Sus scrofa: one gene and its partners. The protein of the gene in region 2 purifies or fractionates together with the protein of the main gene of each other region. This does not show direct contact. Links are inferred from orthologs where the notes say so. Each region holds a gene or a part of one and is shown on either strand. Other genes may lie near its edges.

Evidence for each region. The genes of interacting proteins can lie anywhere in the genome.
Region 1: the proteins of CLUAP1 (region 2) and IFT27 purify together in Homo sapiens (affinity purification with mass spectrometry; 3 studies listed by BioGRID and IntAct, with this or other methods). This does not show direct contact. The link is inferred for Sus scrofa from reciprocal best matches to the Homo sapiens genes CLUAP1 and IFT27.
Region 3: the proteins of CLUAP1 (region 2) and IFT46 purify together in Homo sapiens (affinity purification with mass spectrometry; 3 studies listed by BioGRID and IntAct, with this or other methods). This does not show direct contact. The link is inferred for Sus scrofa from reciprocal best matches to the Homo sapiens genes CLUAP1 and IFT46.

The regions. Positions count from the first base shown.
Region 1 is NC_010447.5:10,990,980-10,998,997, reverse strand, and holds the start of IFT27 (intraflagellar transport protein 27 homolog), read right to left. Parts: upstream 4,817-8,018; 5' UTR 4,405-4,816; coding exon 4,371-4,404; intron 1-4,370. UniProt on the Homo sapiens protein: Small GTPase-like component of the intraflagellar transport (IFT) complex B that promotes the exit of the BBSome complex from cilia via its interaction with ARL6. Not involved in entry of the BBSome complex into cilium. Prevents aggregation of GTP-free ARL6.
Region 2 is NC_010445.4:38,737,777-38,745,100, forward strand, and holds part of CLUAP1 (clusterin-associated protein 1), read right to left. Parts: intron 4,891-7,324; coding exon 4,795-4,890; intron 3,651-4,794; coding exon 3,567-3,650; intron 1-3,566. UniProt on the Homo sapiens protein: Required for cilia biogenesis. Appears to function within the multiple intraflagellar transport complex B (IFT-B). Key regulator of hedgehog signaling.
Region 3 is NC_010451.4:45,857,103-45,865,209, forward strand, and holds the start of IFT46 (intraflagellar transport protein 46 homolog), read right to left. Parts: upstream 4,817-8,107; 5' UTR 4,592-4,816; intron 3,938-4,591; 5' UTR 3,841-3,937; intron 282-3,840; 5' UTR 247-281; coding exon 202-246; intron 1-201. Other genes in the region: ARCN1 (coatomer subunit delta), read left to right, coding at 6,839-6,841. UniProt on the Homo sapiens protein: Forms part of a complex involved in intraflagellar transport (IFT), the bi-directional movement of particles required for the assembly, maintenance and functioning of primary cilia. May play a role in chondrocyte maturation and skeletogenesis.

The DNA of each region.
Region 1 (8,018 bases), on a different chromosome or scaffold from region 2:
TTCTGTCCGTTCCCCCGGCCCTGGGGGAACCTCCTTTCTGCAGTCACCCTTTGTGCTGCTTGATGGTCCCCTTTTCTTTCCAGTCCTCCAGCACCTGTTAAATGAACACCCCGCACTGAGCGCTCACTGTCCAGATACCCAGTGTGGTTCCTGCTTCTTTGCCTGGACCCTGCCTTACGTAGCACCGAATGCTAGGAGTACTCGTACTAGGAGTGGTCCCAAGACATTGACCCTCAGGAGGGTCTGGAATTGGTTTGGGGGTGTCTTGCCCTAAACACAGGGCTGAGCTCCTGGCCAGTGTCCTAGAGACCTGTGGCATGAGGTAGCATCACGCTGGGAACCATGTGGCTGGGCAGTGCCCCCTCCTCAGAGGTCTGGATCTCAGCTCAGGGCGGGGGTGGGGGAGTGGGGTGGAGTGGGGGGTGGAGGTTCTTCTTCAAGCTTCCGAAAACCCTGACCTCCACCTACCACTTCTGTGTCATTTCTCTGTTGTCGTCTGGCATTTTCAGTTCTCTGACACCTGCTGAACCAATTCCATGCATTATAATCTCTCTGTTGAAACGCCTGATGTATTTTCCTTTTTCTTGACTGGGTCTCGACTGAAAACACTTCCCAACTGGCCCTCTCTCCTTTTAGTTTGTCTCCCTGCTCTCACCCACCCTGAACTTGACATCTACGGATGGACCTTCATAAAACAGTGCCTCCCTGTCATGCTCACACAGAGCTGGTCAAGGATTCGCTCTCCTTCCCATCTTGCAACTCGGTCTCCGGTGATCCCTTATGCAAAATCCAGGCTCTCTACTCCTATTTTCTTGATCCCTGAAAATTCCTCGAAGATATAACCTCTTCCAGGTCTCCCCTAACCCAAACCCTAGTCCTGCCCGTGCTCTGCCAGGCAAAGCTCAAAGAATGTCCTTCCTGCACAGCCTCTGAAGGCCCTCTCTCGCTCCTTCATCTTTAACTGTGCGGTTCCTGTGGCTCAGTGCGGGCAGCATGAGATGGCATCAGAGAAGCCCTCCAGGGAGACCCGATCATCATCCCCACATATGGCAACAGGCAATTCATCACGACTCCGCAGGGCACAGACTCCGGTTCCATGGCTTATCAGCTGTGTGACCCTGGGTCAGCCATTTCTCTGGGCCTCAGCTGCCACATCCACAAAATGGGGATAATAGCACTGATTGCATAGACTTGTTCTGGGTTTTTTTTTTTCATGGCCACAACCTCGGCATATGGACGCTCAGGGGCCAGGGGTTGAATCTGAGCTGCAGTGGCCGGCCTGCACCACATCTGGGTGGATCTTTTAACCCACTGTGCCAGGCCGGGGATCGAACCCATGCCTCCGCAGTGACCCAAGCTGCTGCCGGTGGAGTCTTGACTCACTGCGCCACAGTGGGAACTCCTGTTATGAGGATTTAATGAGTTAACGTGGGCAGCGCCTGATACATATGAAGCGATATTTAAGTGATTCTGAGGCACATAAAATATAGATAAATGTTAAGTGTTGTTTCTTTCTTCGCCTGAACCAGAGCAATTAGCAGTGGGGCCTTGAGGTATCTGTCTGGGATCTGGCACACAAAGGGCATCTGATCTGTGTTTTCTGTGTAACTAGGGACTACGCGCAACTCAGCGCTTCCGGTTCGTCCTCGTACTCCCAGTGCACCTTGCGTCACGACGCATGCATTGTAGGTACTCAAAACATACGTGGACTGAAAAACCATTTGAATTGCCAGGTCCCTCAGTGACTAGTTATTTGAGGGAAAAAAAGGCAGAGTGACTCTATTTACACGGTAGGCTAGTGAGGGGCGCGTTGGTGGAAGGGGGTGAACGAATATTTGATGGGTGGTGGAGGTGGGGCTGTGCAGAGTGAATCCCTACGCTGAGGTCTTTCGGTCCCTGGAAACTTCCAAGAGGAGGTAAGAGGCCTCGAAAGGAAGCGGCTGGCGAAGTGGAAATGAACTCCGACTAGGAACCATGAGGTTGAGGGTTCGATCCCTAGCCTCGCTCAGCGGGTTAAGGATCCTGTGTTGCCGTGAGCTCTGGTGTAGGTCGGCAGCTACAGGTCTGATTAGACCCCTAGCCTAGGAACCTCCATATGCTGCGGGTGCGGCCCTAAAAGGACAAAAGACAAAAAAAAAAAAGGAAGTGGCAGACTGAGGGCTGGGGTGGAGCTCAGCAATGACATCTCAAGGCAGTGGGTGAAATCAGGTAAAACAAGTTCCCGACGGTGTGGATGTGAAGAAGGGCAAGGGGTCTAGAATCAAGGCCGGACGACAGAATCGTATGGGGCTACGAACAAAGCTCTGGAAATCAGATCACCTGGGTCTCGCTCCGAGCTCAGCCACATCCAGCTGTGTGACCCAGGGCAAGGGCCCTACCTCTCTGGGCCTCAACTGCCCCGTCTGTAGGTGAGGATGACAATCATCCTGACCCCATAGGGTTGTGGAGATGAGCTGTGGTGGTGATGAGGGCTCAGCACAGCGCTGGTGCATAGAGGGTGCTCAGTAAGTTAACCGCGAGATGGAAGTTGAATTAAAAAAGAAGAGAAAGAATAGAAAGAGAAGCCCACTGTAAATCCACTATAATAAACATAAAATAACATATGTTCCCGTTGTGGCTCAGCGGAAGTGAATCTGACTACTAGCATCCATGAGGACACAAGTTCCAACTCCAGCCTCGCGCAGCCTCACTAAGGATCCGGCATTGCCATGAGCTACTGTGTAGGTTGGAGACACAGCTCGGATCTGGTGCTGCTGTGGCTGTGGCATAGGCCAGTGGCTATAACTCCGATTTGACCCCTAGCCTGGGAACCTCCATATGCCACAGTGTGACCCTAAAAAGATCAAAAAAAAAAAAAAAATTAAGAGAAGCTCATTTTTTGTTCTTTTTAGGGCCGCACCCTCGGCATATGGAAGTTCCCAGGGCAGGGTCGAATCAGAGCTGTAGCTGCTGGCCTATGTCACAGCCACAATGCCAGATCCTTAACCCACTGAGCAAGGCCAGGAATCAAACCCACAGCCTCATGGATACTAGTCGGGTCCGCTTCTGCTGAGCCACAATGGGATCTCAGAGAAGCCCATTTAAAAAAAAAAAAATCTAACTTCAGAAAAAACATTCGCACCTTATCAATGAGGAAACTGAGGCTCAGAGAAGTACTTTTGTTCAAGAGGACACAGCCAATCAGAGGAACAGCAGAATTATTCCTATTACACAATACTGCCCCTCCTGGCGCTTTGGCAACTAGAGACTGCTTTTGAGAACCATTCATTTTCATTTGCTCCAGAATGATCTGAGTGATTGTTGTCAGTTATCCTCCGGTGTGACCCTTTTATTTCCAAATTGGAAAAGTCACTTAAAAAAATATCATCCCTTTCAGTCTGGAATAAAGACTGAAAAAGGAATCTTTTTCTTCGATATACGTTCTTACTGCTTCATTCCTGAGCTGGTCAGGAAAAGCTGGAAAGGTCACAGGTTTCCAAAGTCACACAAGTGAAGGATTTTGAAGGTTGGCAAATCTGGGGGTTGACATCCCACCTATGACCTTCCTTTGCTAGGGGTGACCTTGGGCCACAGTAAGGTCAGACGAGCACAGCACTTAACCCAGTGTGCTGCCTCCTGGGAGAGGATGAAATGAAATACACCTGCCTGACATGCAGTAAGGACTCAGGAAAGTACATACATGCTCCTTGGTCGCAGGTCCATAATCATGGCAAATGTTTTCGAAATGAGCAGAAATACTACAAATGCGCATGTCACATTTTCATTCATTCTACCAATATTTAGTGAGTACCTACTATGTTCCAGATATTGTTCTGTGTGCTTGGGATGTATCAGTCAGGAAAACAGAGATTCTGACGTTTGGGAGAGTCCTTTATGTCCTCCTGCTTGTGGGGCAGCACAGTAACTCTGGGTCTTAAAGACAACACACATAACTTTTGCAGACTCTGCTCAACTGTACATGACTACCTCCTATCCCCGTTTTGAGAGGAATGGGTTCAGGAAAAAAAAAATCTCATAAGACCATCACGTCACTGATGCCTAACTTCGGGGTACAGGACATGGTTTAGTTGAAGCACTTGGGGTGAGCTTAGCCTTATTTTTTTTAGCGAGTCTACTCCTTCTGAGCACAGCTCAAATTAGTGACAGTGGTCTCAGAGTATGACAGGGAGTGCGGAAAAGCAACTGGAGCTACAAATGTGCTGTGGAAGATAATTCGTCTACGCCTAATGGAATTTACTCTATCAGTAATTGCATTAACTCGCCTTTGGAAGAGAGAAAGGGAAAGAGAGTAGCCAATTTACATGAACAAAAACTCTTGATAACTCTCTGGCCTCCGTCGACTGTATTCATCCGCAAGTTTTCAGACTCACCTGCCAGGATGCATTTCGCTGCCAGCTTCACCATGGTAACCAATCACCTCCGCGGACCAGACAGCGGAAGAGAGGCTGCTGGAGGCGTTGGGGGGCCCTGCCTGGGAAGGGGAGTGGGGAAGGCTGGCGCTGAAGGGTCCTGTGGCGGCGGTGGGGACAACGACCCTCTGGGCAGCCCGCGGGCAGTTCTCGGGCACTAGGGTCGCGGCAGGGCGCGGAGGATCGCCAGATGGGGCCAAGTTCAAGGTCTCAGAGAGTAACCTGGAAGATGCCAGCGAGGCGATTCGGATCCCGTCCCAGGCACAGCTCCAGTTAGTGGGAAGCAGGAATAGTGATCCAGCAACCTTCCCGCCCCCAGAACCGCAACAGATGGGCTTCTCGGGCAACCATGCCCCGCCTGCCCCGCCTTCTCTATTTCCTCCTCCTCCTCCTTGCTGGTTGTGGATTGGCTGCCACCAAAAGCTCCCACACCCGAAAGCTCCCGAAGACCAGTGGGAAGGAGGGGCGGGGATAACAGCCCTTTCTCGCCAGGTAATTCGTAGCAGTATCTGCTCTTCAAACTTTTCTCGCTTGGCTAATAGTTGTAGAGCATGTCAATCATCTCCACCTCCCGCCCCCTCACCTCTGGAAAGTTCAGGGAAAAACAGCTCCAACAACTTATATCCAGAAGCGGTGATAAAAGCAGCTTTCTGATTGGCCAGAGGCTGGCTTGGACCATCTCGGGAGGAACGCGTACCCTCCTCCCCTTCTGGAAGTGGGTTCGCCCACGGAGGGGGCCAGTTGGGAGCGCGGGAGACTGGAGCGGCGCCTGCGCAGTGGACAAGGTGCAGTTGCCCAAGCGGAACTTTGAACCCGCTCTGTTGGGCCGAGGTTCTTGTCGCCCCCTCAAGTCCCAGATTCCGGGGAGAGCGACGTAAGCTGCATCAAGAAATCTAGTCCTTGGCTCGCATCTCACAGGGAAATCTGATTTTTAAAGCCCGAGAATGTCATGCTTTAAAATGTAAAATAGGAAAGTGTTGAAAGTGATGTCTGTGGACAAAGAGAGAACAAGTGAGTTTAATGTGGGGGAGCAGCGGGACTCAGACACTTGAAGCCCTACTTTCCTGAGTCCAGCCCCTCTTGTAAAATGGAGAATATATCACATACCGCACATCATCGAATGAAAGCCAGCCCCAGGACACTCCCCATCCCACAGGGAGGCTCCGAGGATGTCTGTTGACTTTCTGGGGGAGGCTCCTCTTGCTGAAAGAGGAACCTCAGACTGAAATCACTGCCGCCGCCGTCTTCCTGACCTGGTGACCATCGTGGCACATCGCCTCGCCCCTGAGCCTGTTTCCTCGTTAAAAATGGGCTAGTGGAACCCACCTCCTGGGGTTGTCCTGACGCTCAAAAGAAGGTCTGTAAGTGCCTGGAACATAGTAGGGGCTCAACAGTGAGGAATGGATGAATGAGAAGAGATTCATCTGGACAAATTTCATTGATCATCACTGCCGTATGCCAGGTGCAGGCACCCCTGTTCTGCCTCTGCTGGGGCCCCCTGGGATGGCTGGTGCTGAGCAGGAAGATGCCCTCAGTGAAGGTGCCTGCCCCCGGGGGTTTGTCATCACAGGCCTTTCAGTTACCTGGAACTTGCCTCACCTGCTCAGTGTCTCCCTGTGGCTACCAGCCTTGCGCTGGGCCATGAACACACATACACTCCACACATTTCTGTGGATGCTTCAGCCTTGAATTGGGAGTGAAACAGAGCAAGCTGCCTGGAAGTTTCTTTCCTTGGGACTCATTCCTGGTATTGTGATTAAGATGTGTCTCCTGCCTTCCCCTCACCTACTTGTCTTCTTTGGAAACATCATGCAAGTCTGTCTCAGACACCCCAGGCCTCGGTGAGTCAGAAAGCCTCTGCCTGGTCTTTCTGCCCCCGCCCCGCTTCCAGGCTGCCCTGCTAATTAATCCCTCAGAGGCCCTCTTGAGTAAGTCACTCTTTGAGGCAGCTCCATGGAGCTGAGATGCTGAAACACATTTGGGGGAGATATATCTGGGAGCCTCAGTTTCCCCATCTGTGAGGGGCAGGAGGGACTAACAGCCCCTCCCTCATAGGGCTGTCTTCCTCTGCCCACATCTGCGGAGTCCACATCTGCAGAGCCCACATCCCTTTCCTTGGTGCTGCTGTGTGTGGTTTCGGTCAGCACCATTGTAAGAGCATTGTGGGGTGGTGTTTTGTGGTTTGTTTTTTTTTTTTTTGCTATTTCTTTGGGCCGCTCCCACAGCATATGGAGGTTCCCAGGCTAGGGGTCGAATCAGAGCTGTAGCTGCCAGCCTACGCCAGAGCCACAGCAACGCGGGATCCGAGCCGAGTCTGTAACCTACACCACAGTTCATGGCAACGCCGGATCGTTAACCCACTGAGCAAGCGCAGGGACCGAACCCACAACCTCATGGTTCCTAGTTGGATTCGTTAACCACTGCGCCACGACGGGAACTCCTGTTTTTTTTTTTTTTTTTTTTTAGGGCCGCACCCACAGCATATGGAAGTTCCCAGGCTAGGGGTAGCATTGGAGCTGCAGCTGCCAGCCTGTGCCACAGCCACAGCAACGCAGGATCCACGCTGCATCTGCGACCTACACCACAGCTCAGGGCAATGCCGGATCCTTAACACACTGAGCAAGGCCAGGGATCAAGCCTGCGTCCTCATGGATGCTAGTCGGGTTCGTTACGGCTGAGCCACTGACAGGAGCTCCCTGTAAGAGCATTCTGGATCTCCCCAGAGAGATGGTGAATTCTGTACCCCTTACTCCACTACCCTGAGGGCCTGCTATACAGTCTTGATGTCAAAATGACAGCCGCATGACTGTCACTGAGTTTTGGGTGATCAGAGAGTTTGGGAGCCCTGAAGGCCCTGGTGAAATTCTAGTCTAACCCTTCCCTGAGTGGCTCTAACAGAGCTGGTGTTTGCTAAACCCATACTGAATGCTGGCCTCATTCTAAGTGCTTGAAAGGAGTCATTAATTTAATATTCATGTTCCTATCTGATATTCATAATAAGCCCTGTGAAGCCTGTATCCGCCCTTTTTGATAAACGGGGAGACTGAGGCTCCAGTGAGGTGAAATCCAATCCTCAAGGTTATAAGACTAGAGAAGGGCAGAGCTGGGGATGAAGCACAGACTATTAAGCCTCTGGCCCCTACAGGGACCTCTCCTGCCTCTAATCCTCTGACACTTCCTTGAATCCTAGAGAGTAAATATTTATTGAGTTCCTTGCAGCAATAGCTCCTGCTAATTGGGCATCAGCTATGCCAGGCACGTGCTGAACGCATCACATCCTCTTTCTTGAAGGATTCAACAACTCTGGGAAGTGGAAACTCTCTTTCCTTCAATTTCCCTGGGAAGGACGCTCAGACCTGCACAGAGCCTGAGCTCATGCAACAAGCCAGCTAGAATCAGAGCCAGCCTCCGGTCTCCCGCGCTTGGGACCGATGCATTTTTTTTTTTTTTCCATTGCCTGCTGCAGTCTTTCTGTTTTCATTAATAAGCTTTTCCTTGAGGATCTCCCCTAGGCCAGGCCCTGGGCTGGTTGCTGGAGCCACGAAGTGAAGGTGCCAGAAAGCCAGGCAGCTCTGGCAGATGGTGGCCCTGTGGGAATACCAGCCCAGT
Region 2 (7,324 bases):
AAGAAATGCATGAATGACCACTTCACGCTGGTCAGAATGGCCATCATTAAGAAGTCTACAGATGACAGATGCTGAGAGGGTGTGGAGAAAAGGGAACCCTCCTACACTGTTGGTGGGACTGCCAACTGGTACAACCACTATGGAAAATACTAAGGAGGTTTCTCAGAAAACTAAATATAGAACGTCCATATGATCCAGCAGTTCCACACCTGGGCACCTATCTGGACAAAACTACAATTCAAATAAATGGAGTTCCTGTCATGGCTCAGTGGTTAACGAATCCGACTAGGAACCATGAGGTTGCGGGTTTGATCCCTGGCCTTGCTCAGGGGGTTAAGGATCCCGTGTTGCCATGAGCTTTTGTGTAGGTAGCAGATGCAACTCGGATCCCGTGTTGCTGTGGCTCTGGCGTAGGCTGGCGGCTACAGCTCCGATTAGACCCCTAGCCTGGAAACCTCCATATACCACGGGAAGCGGCCCTAGAAAAGGAAAAAAGACCCCCCCCCAAAAAAAAAAAAAAAAAAAAAAACATGCAAGTTCCCACTGTGGCGCAATGGGATCAGGGGTGTCTCTTAAGTGCCAGGTTGCAGGTTGGATTCCTGGCCCAGTACACTAGGTAAAAGGATCCAGCCTTGCCACAACTGTGACTCAGATCTGATCCCTGGCCCGGGAACTCCATGTACCTCTGAGCGAAAATTAAAAAAAAAATACATGCACCCTATGTTCACTGCAGCCCTACTCCCAACAGCCAAGATATGGAAACAACCTAAATGTCCATCGACAGACGAATGGATTGAAACGACATGGCACAAACATGTGCACAATGAATACTACTCAGACACAGAAAAAGAAGGAAATGACGCCATTTGTAGCAACATGAAAGCAACTGAAGATTATCATACTAAGTGAAGTTAGGAAGAGAAAAACAAATACCATATGATATCACTTATATGTGGAACCTAAAATATGGCACAAATGAACCTATTTACAAAAGAGAAACAAGCTCAGACATAGAAAAGAGACCCATGGTTGCTAAGGAGGCAGGGGCAGGGAGTGGGAGGTTGGGGTTGGTCATTGCAAACTAGTACATTCAGAACGGAGAAGCATCACGGGTCCTGGGGTAGAGCACAGCGAACTCCATCCAGCCTCTCGGGATAGAACATGACAGAAAGTAACACAAGACAGGGACTACGCAAATATGTACGACTGGGTCACTTTCCTGTCCTGAAATTGGCACAACATTGTAAATCGTCTGCCATATAAATAAATAAATAAATAAAAATAGAGCCCCCTATCATGGGCTGGAAGAAAGAAAAAAACCTAATAAACTACATTTTGAAAATGTGGAAAAAAATGTAAGAAAGTGTGTATGGATGCGCATGTGTTTGTACACAAACACGTCTTACATATGCTCCACATCCACAGACGTACTGCAAAATTTACTCCCACATCTATCTGTCGAAAACCATGTATTTAACCAACACCTCCTGTTTCAGGGTTCTCTCTAATTTTTCCCTTTTCGCGGTTGTAATTCCTTTTTCCAACAGTGAAAACCACGGCTTCTGTGAACTTTAATGTACTTACAGTAAATCAACACTTTTTTTGGCTTTAGGGCCGCACTCGTGGCATATGGAGGTTCCCAGATGTCGAATTGGAGCTGTAGCTGGTGGCCTATACCACAGCAACGCCAGATCCTTAACCCACTGAGTGAGGCCAGGGATCAAACCTGCATCCTCATGGATACTAGATAGATTTGTTTCCACCGAGCCATGAGGGAAACTCCAAATCAACTATACTTTAATAAAAAAAAGTTTTTCTTATTTATGTGACCAATTTGCCTCTATACACCCAATCTCCCATCTCAGCTGCCCTGCCTTTCTCACCCTGCTGCGGCTCTGACTCCCTGGACTGGGCTGCCCAGGGAGTAAGTATGACCATAGTATGACAAGAGTATTATCAACCTCAGGATTTTGTACAACTCTCAGCAAATTATTTTATACCTACTCCTCATTTACACAAGGACCCCTGTTGTGTCTGCTGAATAAAATGAATCTCTACTAGTGACTCAATACCTACTAAGTGCCAGAGATGCTATATGACACACAGTCAGACTGAATGTTTAGGAGGACCCTGGTGGACATGGCCACTGCCCCCATTTTACAGATGAGAAAGGTGAGGCACAGAGAGGTTAAGTAACTTGCCTCAGATGACACAGAGGGATTCAAACACAAGCAGTCTGAGTCCCTGCCCCCACAACTACGTGATTTGCAAATGAATGCTTTAGATGAGATGAGCGGGTGATAACTGATCATGGGTGAGGAGTAGAGGCTGCTGATCACTCTATTTATTATAGCGCTGTCTGGAATTGAGAAAATATGGAAATCATTTCAGTGCCCAGCAGTGAGAATCTGGTTAAATAAGATGAGAGAGGAGTTCCTGTCATGGCGCAGTGGTTAACAAATCCGACTAGGAACCATGAGGTTGCCGGTTCGGTCCCTGCCCTTGCTCAGTGGGTTAACGATCCGGCATTGCTGTCAGCTGTGGTGTAGGTTGCAGACACGGCTCGGATCCCGCGTTGCTGTGGCTCTGGCGTAGGCCGGTGGCTACATCTCCAATTGGACCCCTAGCCTGGGAACCTCCATATGCCGTGGGAGCAGCCCAAAGAAAGCAAAAAAAAAAGGAAAAAAAAAAAAAAAAAGATGAGAGAGTCAGGGCTCCCACTGTGGCTCAGTGGGTTAAGAAGCCGATGTAATCTCTGTGAGGATACTTGATCCTTGGCCTTGCTCAGTGGGCTGAGGATCTGGTGTTGCCAAAAGCTGCTGCGTAGGTTGGCAGCTGCAGCTCCAATTCATCCCCTAGCCTGAGAACTTCCATATTCCACAGGTGTGGCCTAAAAAAAAAATGAAGAGTCCATAAAATAGGATCTTTATTAAAATTACTGAAGAATTTAAAAGAATTATTAAATGAATAAAACTGATAAGTCTAAGTAACATGAGAAAATGTTATTTATATTGAATGGAAAAATACATTGAATGGAAAAATAACAGCAAGTAACCTAGTTCTAGGTTAAATTCTAAATTTGTAAAATTGTAAATTTGTAAATTTGTAAATTCTAAATTTGTAAATTTGTAAATTTAGAATTTAGGAGTTTCCGTCGTGGCAGAGCAGAAACAATCCGACTAGGAACCATGAGGTTTTGGGTTCGATCCCTGGCCTCACTCAGTGGGCTAAGGATCCCGCATTGCCGTGAGTTGTGGTGTAGGTCGAAGACGTGGCTCAGATCTGGTGTTGCTGTGGCTGTGGCCGGCAGCAATCGCTCCAATTAGACCCCTAGCCTGGGAACCTCCATATGCCGCGGGTACGGTCCTAAAAAGACAAAAAAAAAAAAAAATTTAAAAAATTAAAAATAAATAAATAAATAAATTTAGAATTAAAAATTTTTCTCCTTCCCACTAACATATCTCTTATTTGTTACTAGGAGTAGGCTGTTCTGCCTTGTAGAGCCAGGAATAAATATTTTCAAGTCCTAAGCGCAAAACCATTAAATAAATGCAAAATAATCTTACCAAAATATCTTTTATTGCAATTCTCATCACTTTCTCAATCTCATTTATTTCCAGAGGTCTGGCAATTGCTTCTGTTCTCAGTTCCTATGGGAAACAATGAAAAGATTGTATATTTTTTCAGAAGAGGAATTCTCAAAACCAATTCCCAGATCTAGATATGGCTTAAGGACTGGTTCTCGAAAGTTCCACTACAGGAGTTCCCGTCATGGCACAGCAGAAATGACTCTGACTAGTAACCATGAGGTTGCAGGTTCGATCCCTGGCCTCACTCAGTGGGTGAAGGATCTGGCATTGCCATGAACTGTGGTGTACACTGTAGACATGGCTCAGAGCCGGCATTGCTGTGGCTGAGGTGGAGGCCGGTGGCTACAGCTCCAATTTGACCCCTGGCCTGGGAACCTCCATATGCCTTGGATGCAGCCCTAAAAAGCAAAAAAAAAAAAAAAATTCCATTACAATGTGGATCTCTGACACAAACACACTTCCTCCAAGTGTCTCCTGCAATCCTTCTGCCAACCTGGCGTCTCCAGAGCAGGAGGCCCTCCTTTCCAGCCAGAGGCCTCCTGTCCCCTGACACCATGGGAAACTGAACTTACCATCCAAAATCTAAAATCTTGTCTCCCAAATGTGCCTCTTTACCTGCATTCCATTCAGGGAACCCCCAAACCAAGTGCAGCACAAAACTGTAACCAATGAGAAGCAGCACCTGGGCCCTGCCGGTAGCACTAAAAGGAACCACCAAGGGGGCACAGGGCCTACCCATCAGCACTGGGAACTTCTGAGACAGAAGTCTTCTGCCCTAAAGAGACGGGAAAAAAAAAAAAAAGAAAACCCTCCCAAAGCCCAAGTCACATTTTGGACTCGTAGTTTGTGAAGATCCCCTGATGAGTCCACTGGGCAGCCAGATTTGGGTCCTGCAGGTGCAGAAAAGCATTTTGTTGGGAAGAAAGCTGAGGCTGAGTTCGTAGGGGCAAGCAGCATGGGCACAAGGAGGCGGCAAGCACGGATGTGCCATTCCTGAACTAGATGGCAGAGTGTAAGAAACGGAGAGCGGCCCGCCAGAAGCAGGACCAGCAGCGAACAGTGTGCGGATTACTTTTCCACACGGGATCTCATTTAGCCACGTACAGTTTAATAAAATCAGAAGCTCAGGGAAAGAGAATTGGAAGAGAAACCTTGGAAACCTGCTTCGAGAAGGAGGTGACCCAAGTTCCTGGACACCACTCACCCTCAGCTCCACCTCCTTGCCCAGCAAGTCGTACAGAGACGCTCCTTTGGAAGTGATTTCAGAAGCAAGCTGCCTGGCAGCTTTCAAATCTGCAATCTGAAAGGAAAATGGCAGAAACAGAAACTTCAGAGACAGGTTTTAGGCCCCGAGAGAACCAGTGTGCTCACATCGCCACCACTTCCGACCGGATGCCCGACTCACTTGACTACTGAGCGTTTTCCACCAGATGCACGGCCTGCAGCAGAGAACCCCCTGGGGCTGGGGGGGGGGCTCTGAAAACCCCAAGTCGGGTCAAGGGTCCTCTGCAACCAGGAGGTGGGGGCTGGCGTGCTTCCTGCTTGGACTGGGTCACAGCAGGGGAACGCTGGCAGTGGTGCGGTGACCAGGGAGGGGCACAGTGTGACCGCAGACTCCAGATGCCTGTTTGCCGCCCCCATTCTCTGCCCGAGACGGCGCGTCACGGGGCTGCCAGGGGCCCCTGCGAAGGGCGCACCGCAGGACCGGCTCCACGGCCAAGGCGACAGTGGTGGCGATTGAGCACCCACCCACAGGCTTCTCTCTCAGGGTCTGCACATCACACTCTCTCCCTCGAACACGCAGCTTTTCCAAAGAGCCCTGACAAACACGCCACATCCCCGTGCCCTCTCCGCTCTCCCCCGACGCCGAGTTCCCAGCCCCTTCATCTCCAAACCACCAGCGAGAGCTCCCTCTTCACTCCCGGCTGATGATCCCACGCCCACAGCTCCGGCGGCCGCCACCTCCTCGCCAGGAACGGGCCGCCTCCTGTGCCCCAAGAGCAGGAGTCTTACCGCCCTCCCTGCAGCGGAGCAGAGCTCAGCCCCCCGCCTCTCACGCTCCCCTGGGCTCCTGCTTGGACAGACGCCGCCAAGTGAACGCGTCCCAAACCCAGCGCTTCCTCTTTCCTGCCCAGCCTGCTCCTTCCCGGCTCCTCGATCTCAACAGCCACTTCCCCGGGCCGGTTCCGCAGTCACCTCGCCCATTCTCGGGGTAAAACCACTTAAATTCAACCTGAAAGGCAGTTCCTCGAGGGCGCTAGTGCCATGGGATGAGCAGCCACCTCACCGTGTGCCACAGGCGCCGAACTCACCCCCACAGAAGGCGCCACGAGACCCGGCTGCTTAGGCCCTTCCCCGTGTGGTCTGCTTGCTTTCAACCCACGCGCAGTCCCGCAAGATGGACCTGCAAGACACTGCCCTGCCCTCTGGCCACTTCCTTCCACTGAGCAGCCTGGCTCCTGGGTGGGCTTCTGCGGCCTGACGAGCCAATCCCAGAGGCCTCCCCCGGCAGCCTCAGGGGGACCCCCCAAGCCCAGTGCCCTGCGGGCTCTGAAGCCTCAGAGCTGCAGGCAAGGACCCAGGAGCGCCACCGGTCATGCTCTGGTGGAGCCCCGCTTTCCCAGGTCCCCTCGGCGCTTCTGCTGAGGCCTCCTCATGGAAGGCGAAGAGGAAACTCGGGGACACTCTTCCCACTGCTTCACTGCCCACTACATTGCACCCCGCAGCCCGCTTAGGGCACAGGTCTAGAAACTCCGGCTTCGTCCCTTGCTTACGTCGGGCGCTTTTGGCCTGGGGCTTCATTTTTCTTTTTCCTCTTATGGCAGCACTGGCGGCACATGGAGGTTCCTCGGTCAGGGGTCAAGCCACAGCTGCAGCTGCAGCCTACACCACAGCAACACCGGAACCGAGCCACATCTGCGACCTACATGGCACTCTGCAGCACTGCTGGATCCTTAACCCACTGAGCAAGGCCAGGGATCCAACCTGCATCCTCATGGAGACAATGCGGGTCCTTAAGCCACTGAGCCATAACAGTATCTCCTTAGCTTGCTGCTTTAATGGAGTCCTGGCAGCTCTCTCCTCCTCCAAGCTCAGCTGAGGGCATGACACCCACTCTGCTCAGAGGCACCGTCACCTGCTGTCTTGCAAGTCCCTCTGCTTCCGCTTTCGCTGCCCCTTCAGTCTGATCTCAAACCAGCAGCCAGAGTGACCCTCCCAACATGAAAGTTCAAGTCACGTACCTCTTTGCTCAAAACTCAATGATTTCCCCTGTCAAACTGTTGACAGTGGCTTTCCAGGGACAACAGGGTCTGTCACTGTCCCCCCAGCTCTCCTCACACACACACCCGCCTCTCCACCTGGCATTTCCATAAACACGCACGGCACCCCTTCCACAGAGGGGCTTGCTCCTTCCCTCCCTCAGATCTCTGCTCACAAAAGCGCCCAAGCCCTGAGGCCGCCCTCGCTCCGTCTTCAGACGCCTCCCCAGCCCCTGTCTGCCCCCAGCCCCGCACACTCAGCCCACCTGACCCGACACTCGCCGTGCTTTGGGGTTTACAGTCTGGCTCCCCCGACCGAGCCTCGGCAACAGAGGATCCCTGTCCTGGTTGTTCAGGCCTGTGTCCCCAGCGGTGGAACAGGGCCTGGCAGACTTGGCTTTCAACAGACAATCGTATTTAATGTCCTTTCTGTTTTTATCCAAAAGCGATGAGCACAAAACGGACAAAGAGCCC
Region 3 (8,107 bases), on a different chromosome or scaffold from region 2:
AAAAAGTCAGCTATATAATAATAAGCCTTATTCCTGAAGGAGAGTCAAAATCTTACGGCTCTTTGAATTGTCCTCCATGAGCTTAAAGATACCCAACCTCTGGAGGTGAGTATTCAAGAAAAGGCTGCTAATGAACTGGTGTCAAACTACTACTAAAAACTCAAAGCGGAAATTTCACAAGATGCTGTGGGTTGTACGTACCTTGTTATTTTCCTCTTCACACTCATCACTACTGTTATCAGCCATAGTCTTGTTAGGAAGATGGGCAGAATGAGGAAGTCCTTGGAAGAAGATTTTCCCTTTAGGTTATTGTCAAAATGATTTTTAAAGACAAATATTTTTAGTTTATAATATTTTATGCTCTAACCATTTTATGGAACTGGGTTTATAAGAACATCTAGCTGAAAGACCGGAAACTGAATTCTAGTCGGCTCTGTAAATTTAATTCAATTCAATTCAAGATGTATTTACTTGGAGTTCCTGTCGTGGCTCAGTGGTTAGCGAACTGGACTAGTATCCATGAGGATACGGGTTCGATCCCTGGCCTCGCTCAGTGGGTTAAGGACCCAGTGTTGCCGTGAGCTGTGGTGTAGGTCACAGATACGGTTCGGATCCCGAGTTGGTGTGGCTGTGGTGCAATCCAGCAGTTACAACTCTTATCCAACCCCCAGCTTGGGAACCTCCATGTGCCATGGTTATGGCCCTAAAAAGATCAAAAAAAAAAAAAAAAAGATATGTTTACTTGAATTATTATGTTTTAGGCATTACTATGGTTAAGGCATTGGGTGAGACATTATATTGATTATCTGCCATTACATAAATAGTATAAAATCTGTGCTTAGTTTACACATTGGTGAAATGAGGTTAGTAATTAGTAAAGCAAAAGAGTGCTGGATATATAGGCAGAAAACTGGGTGTAAAGGACAATGCTATCACTTTAACAAAATAACTTAATTTCTTTGTGTCTCAGAATTCTCACTTCTAGATGGAGTTAGTAATATTTTTCAGGACTGTTGTAAGGATCAATTGAAAAAATTTTACATGGAAGAAAATGATCTAGTTCCTGGCAACTAATGGTCATAAATATGAATCTGAATCAATGTCTATAAGATAAAAGCAATAAAATATTCAGAACAATTATAAAGCAAAATCAGGGAGTTCCCATCACGGCTCAGCAGAAACGAATCTGACTAGCATCCATGAGGACGCAGGTTCGACCCCTGGCCTTGCTCAGTGGGTTAAGGATCTGGTGTTGCTGTGAGCTATGGTGTAGGTTGCAGACATGGCTCGGATCCTGTGTTGCTATTGCGGTGGTATAGGCCGGCAGCTACAACTTCCATTCAACTCCTAGCCTGGGAACCTCCATATGCTGTGGACGAGGCCCTAAAAAGACAAAAAAAAAAAAAAAAAAAAAAAGCATAATCAGGAGTTCCCATTGTGGCTCAGCGGTAACACACATGACTAGTACCCATGAGGATGGGGGTTCATTCCTGGCCTCACAGTGGGTTAAGGATCCAGCGTGGCTGTTGGCTGTGGTGCAGGTCAGCAGCTGCAGCTCTGATTCGACCCCTGGCCTGGGAACTTCTATATACTGCAGGTCCTAAAAAGCAAAAAAATAAAATAAAATAAAATAAATAAAAGCATAGTCAAAGGTAAGATATTATTAACTGGCATGAAAATATGTTCAATGATTTCTAAGTCAATCAAATGCCTATTTTTCTGCCTATTAACTTGCCTAAACTAAAAACAAATTATAATGACCATGGCTGGCAAGATTATAAGTATGCTTAAGTCAGAAACCTGGGTGTATAGGTTTTATATAAAAGATTGAAAGCAGGGACTCAGACAGTTGTACACCAATGTACATAGTTGCACATTCACAATCTCCAGAAGGTGGAAGCCACCCAAGTTCTCATCAACAGACAAATGGATAAACAAAATTTGGGAGTTGCCGTTGTGGCACAGTGGTTAACGAATCCGACTAGGAACCATGAGGTTGCGGGTTCGGTCCCTGCCCTTGCTCAGTGGGTTAACGATCCGGCGCTGCCGTGAGCTGTGGTGTAGGTTGCAGACGCGGCTCGGATCCCGCGTTGCTGTGGCTCTGGCGTAGGCTGGTGGCTACAGCTCCGATTCAACCCCTAGCCTGGGAACCTCCATATGCCGCGGGAGCGGCCCAAGAAATAGCAACAACAACAACAACAACAACAAAAGACAAAAGACAAAAAAAAAAAAAAAAAAAAAAAAAAAAAAAAAAAATTTGGTTATATATACAATGGAATATTATTCAACCATAAAAAGGTTAGCAGGGGCTGGGAGGGGAAGGGGAATGGAGGGTTACTGTTCAACAGGTACAATTTCTATTCGGGATGATGAAAAAGTTTTGGAAATAGTTACACAACAACAGGAACCACTTAGTGCTACTGAACTGTATACCTCAAAATCGTCAAAATACCAAATTTTTATGTAGGCAAATTAACCACAATAAGCAAACAAACAAGCCTGGACGTCATCCTTGATTCCTAAGTCAGGAGTTAAATTCAATCCTTCAGCAACTCTCAGTGATCTGACCACAACAATACCTCTGGCATTAACCAATTCTATTATCAACTGTCACCACATCCAAGCCACTGTCACCTCAACTCCACCATGGCAACAGTCCTACTGACCCCCTACTTTCTCCGTAGCACCTTTCAATCCATGTCACACATAAGAGGAATATGGCCTCTTGAGCCCTGCTTGTCATGCCTCCCGCCCACCTCTGAGGCTACTTCCCCCTACCATATGCTGGTCTCTTTCAAGTCCTCAAACTAATGAAGTTCTTTCTGGCCTCAGTGCCTTTTCAATTTTCACTTGCTGCTCCCTCTTCCTGGCTTACTTTTCCTCAATGTCGAGACCCTTCTCATCTTTCAGCTTCAACTATCACCTCCTTGGGTCTTCCTTGATCCTTCTATCAAAAGTGGAGCCCATTCCTCACCAATATTCTCCATAACATCAAACTCTTTGCTTCCATCATGCACTTAATGCATCTGTAATTTTGTCTCTTTATTTATTTGGCGTCTGTCTCCCGTAATCACAAGCATCAGGATGACAGGGTTAATGTCTCTTTTAATACAGCATACCTAGTGCGAAGCATAAGGCTGACAGCAGGCATTCAAAAAATGTTTGTTGAATAAATGATGGTGTGAAGTCCTCTAAAAATATTCCGTTGAGATTTTAATTGGCATTGCAGGTTAAGCGCAGGTTACTGAAGCATCTTCAAAACTGAGCAAAAGACTTTTTTTTTTTTTTTTTTTGTCTTTTTGCTATTTCTTTAGGCCGCTCCCGCAGCATATGGAGGTTCCCAGGCTAGGGGTCGAATCGGAGCTGTGGCCACCGGCCTACACCAGAGCCATAGCAACGCTGGATCCAAGCTGCGTCTGCAACCTACACCACAGCTCACGGCAATGCCGGATCGTTAACCCACTGAGCAAGGGCAGGGACCGAACCCGCAACCTCATGGTTCCTAGTCGGATTCGTTAACCACTGCGCCACGACGGGAACTCCAAGACTTTTGATAAATTAAATAAACAAACATGAACCCCTGGCAGATTATGGGTAAAGAGTATCACGAAATAAATGATGATGGGAAACTGGTCAGATTGAAGGAAGATCCTGCAATGTGGGTGGCGGTGTTTTCTCCCTCCTTAAGTAGTTAGAAAACAGAAGCGACAACAAATAACTTGACTCTGAAAGTCAACATTTGCTATTATAAACTAAAAAATTATTGGAAACAATCATGAGTCCATCCTGCTCTTTGCTCTGAGAACCGTCTGTCTTCTTTTCTCTTCATTTATTTCTTACCTTTGTGTCTTGAGGGAGGAGTATAAATACTTGCAACCTCTTCCGAGTCGTTAATCTCTAGACGCTCATCATATGTCTGGTTTTCTATAATCTTGGTCTAAGTAAAAGGAAACATGATTACACAGCTCCTATCACGGGACAGTAAGCACTCTGTGGGGAGCTGGACTCCAAACCAGCAATGGTTCCGAGACACCAGTTTTACATGAAACCCTCACCCCAGTTCAAGCAGTTAAGTCATTCTGCTGCAGCCCTTATTTAGGAACTGCTGGCAGGCTGACCGGAGAACGAAGAAATCCTGGAGCGAAACAACAGCCAACTTCTGCATCACCTTCCCCAAAGCTCTTTTGTAGAGAACGGCTCAAGTGAGCCTCAGGTTCGGTCAGTTTCCCAAGGCTGCTGGGATTTCTTAGCTGTAGAGGTTCTAGAAACAATTCTGTTTCTAGAGTCACCAGGGCGGGGGCTGTTCCTCTAAGAGAGGTTAAACTCTAGTCTCTTGGTCCAAAAGCATCACCCTCATCTATACCATGACCACCCCACCCCCCTTGGTCTCGTCTTGTAGTTCGGATGCCCCTTACGTTTCGTGGGGAGTAAGGCAAGCAGAATGGTCGGTGATGGCGTGAAGGGAAGGGAGAAAGTATAGTGGGTAAGAAAACGGAAAGAAGTGGAGAGGGGTTGCGAGGACAGAAAAGGAGTCCTTTCTATTCCTCTTGGGAGAGAGGAAGCGTTCTCTGTTAGGGTGAGTACGAATTACCTGTAGCCCCTCCGAATCCGTCTCTTCTATCTGGAAGGAACCCCAGCCTAGGGCTGGGGTCTCACCCTAATCTCAGGCCAGGCCACTTTTACTTGGAAAGAAGGGGAGCAACTGGCGTGTTGTCAGTAGCTAAGCAAACAAACAATAAATAAATAAATAAAAAGAGCGAAGAAAGAAACAGAAAAATCGCGAGACTTCCTTTAACTCTCGTGAGAGCTCAACTCGCGCATTATGTTTCTCCCCAGCTAAGGAGCCAAGCAGAAAAAGAGGAGCTCACATCGTGATTGTTTAGATTTCAACAGATGTGTCTGTGGTGGCATCTAGCGGCTGCAGGCAGCAAATCAGATGAATTCCGGTTGGTAGAGAGTTAAGCTCTAGATCCCGAAACACGGTCTGCATTTTTTACCCAGGGAAAGGATCAGTAGGTATGAGTTCCTATTAAGTCAGACCACTCAGCCTTTAGGCAAACTCAGGGGTTGCCTCAATTCCTGACATTCTGTACTACTTTTATAGCATTTTTATTACATTATAGTCTTTCCCCTCCACTGTGTCCATAGCATGGGACATATTTATAGTATTAACAAATTATTATTTACCTGTGATTCAAATTTAACACATTCTCCCGCTTTTTTAATTTTTTAATTTTAATTTTTTTTAGGGCTGCACCTGCGACCTATGGAAAATCCCAAGCTGGGGGTCAAATCAGAGCTGTAGCTGCCGGCCATTCTTTCTCTGTATGGATTTATCTGTTCTGGATATTTTACATAAATGGAGTCATAGAAGATACGGTCTTTTGTGAGTGGCATCTTTCACTTAACATAGTATTTTCAAGGTTCATCCATGTTGTATCATGTATCAGAATTTAATTCCTTTTTGTGACTAATATTCCATTGTTTAGATATACTACCTTTTTTTTTTTTTTTTTTTTTTGTCTTTTTAGAGCTTCCTCCACGGCATATGGAGGTTCCCAGGCTAGGGGTCTAATCGGAGCTGTAGCTGCCGGCCTATGCCAGAGCCACAGCAATGCCAGATCCCAGCCGCGTCTACAACCCACACCATAGCTCATGGCAACCCCGGATCCTTAACCCACTGAGTGAGGCCAGGGATTGAACCCGAAACCTCATTGTTCCTAGTCGGATTCGTTTCCGCTTTGCCGGTGGGAACTCTAAATATACCACATTTTGTTATTCATTCGAGTACTGAGGGACACTTGGATCGTTTCCACTTTTTGGCTATTATGAACAATGTTTCTATGAACATTAGTGTTCAAGGTTGTGTATGGGTGTGTGGTTTTAACTCTCTTGGGCGCATACATAGGAGTGAATTGCTGGGTCACATGGTAACCCCATGCTTAGCTTTTTGAGGAGCTGCCAAGCTTTCCCCAAACAATTAAACTACTTCAGGTTCCCGCCAGCAGTGTATGAGAGTTCTAATTTCTCCACATTCTCACCAACTCTTATTATTATAGCCATCCTAGCAAGCTTTGATTTGCAATTCCCTAAGGACTAAAGATATTGAGCATATTTTTATGTGCTTATTGGCCATCTATCGTTTTGTTTTTGTCTTTTTATGGTTGCACCCGTGGCATATGTAAGTTCCCAGGCTAGGGGTCAAATCAGAGCTGCAGTTGCTGCCACAGCCACCAGCAATGCCAGATCCAAGCTGTGTCTGTCACCTACACTGCAGCTCAGGCAATGTTGGATTCTTAACCCACTGCATCAGGCCAGGGATGGAACCAAATCCTCATGGATCCTAGTCCCGTTCCGTTTCCACTGAGCCACAAGGGGAACTCCTTCCATTGTTGAGTTTTAAGGATTCTTTATATATTCTGGCTACTAGTCCCTTATGAACACCAGTTATTTTGTATGTTAAATGCTACCAGTGGCTCTGAGAGCTTTATAAACTGCAAGAGATTTCGCAATTTAAACGAAGGCGCTGAGGACGGTGAAGGAACTGAAGCCAGCGGTTCCACGCAGGAGGTGGAGGCTCCAGGACTCCATGGCACAGCCTGCGTAGCAGCCCTGCGCCCGGTCTCCCCACTCACGGCGCCCCGCCTCCCGGCCTTTGACCCGCGCCGTTTCCGGTTGGAGACGTGGCTCGAGGCCGCCATCTTGGCAGGAGGCGAAGCGGCCGGCGCTCCTGTCAGGGGGGCAGCAGGTTCTGAGCGGCGGGTGCTCCCCTTCCTCCCACCCCAGCCGGAGTCGCAGTGGAGCTGGAGCGCGGGAGCGCCTCACCACCGCCCTCACCATGGTAAGACCTGAGCCGGACCCAGCTCCCTGGACGGCCTCGCTCGCCCGCTTTCCCTGCTGCCGGCCTGGTGCTGGGGCCAGAGGAGCCCCGCCCCGAGCGCCCGGAGCCGGTCGCTTCGCTGGGGCTCTGGGAGCGTTGTGGCCTTCCCTACCCTGTGTCCGACCTGTGGAGAGATCCGAGGGACCTGACTCCTCCAGTCGTCTGTCGTTGCGCCCACACCCCTCCCCCGCAATCGGCTGGGCACCCTGCTCTGCCAGGACTCAGGCCCTAAAACGGGCCTGGAGTTTTGCTCTGCAGGAACCTCTTAGTGATGTCCCGTGGACCCCACTCTGCGGACCAGGAAGCTAGTGTCCAGCAGGTTCCGTGGGTGCTTAGGCTCAGCAAGCCGGGCCTCTCAGGAGTTCTCTTCTGTAATCGGCTCACCTCCCCCCGGTGTTCCTTAGGCCATTGATGTTCTAAACCTAAATCTAAATCCGTTAGCGTTCCGGACTTTTTCTTTAGTTTGTTCAAAAGGGAGAAATAGAGGACAGTTCCGAAAAGAGGCCTAGAACAGGTAGGATTAACTTCTGGCACTAATTTGTAGGACCCAAGTGTTCCTGAAAGCTGCTACCTATTTCTGTAGATCTTGGGTAAGTCCATTTATCAGTGCGATTGAGTATATAGGTGTGTATGGAGCATTGTAGAAATGTGAGCAGATTAAGGAGAACACAGGCTTTCTGTCTTCAAGGAGCTTATAGTTCAGGTGAAATGAAATGTGTGTGTCAGATGTCTCACGGGAGTGAGAAAGGGTTCACACTCTGGGACTTGCTACTTGCCTTCAGTTGTGTTCCCATCTGTTGTTGAGACAGTTAAAATTAATGTGGATGGGATGGGACAAAACACAATGCTCAATCCACCAAATCTTGCTTTATTACTACCGCGGATGGGTATTTATGAAGCAGGAGAAATTTTTTGGTTCCAAACAAGCTATAAATTTATTTTTAAGTGCACTTTATGGCCTTCAGTCTTTTGAAGGATATTCCTTTTTTTAATTCTTTTTTTGTCAGTAGGTTCATAATTTGATTTAAAGCATTTTCCTACATGCTTCAGATATGATGATGTAATTTGGTGCCAGTCATATTAAGTTCTGTTGACAGCCTTTTTCGTGCTTGGGCTTTAAACCACTGAAAGATTTTCTTCAGCTTCAGGCATATAAATTGCATCAAGCAGGTTTGCCTCATAAAACTTTTATGTCGGACATAAAATTTCCAAAAAGTCCTTTCTTCA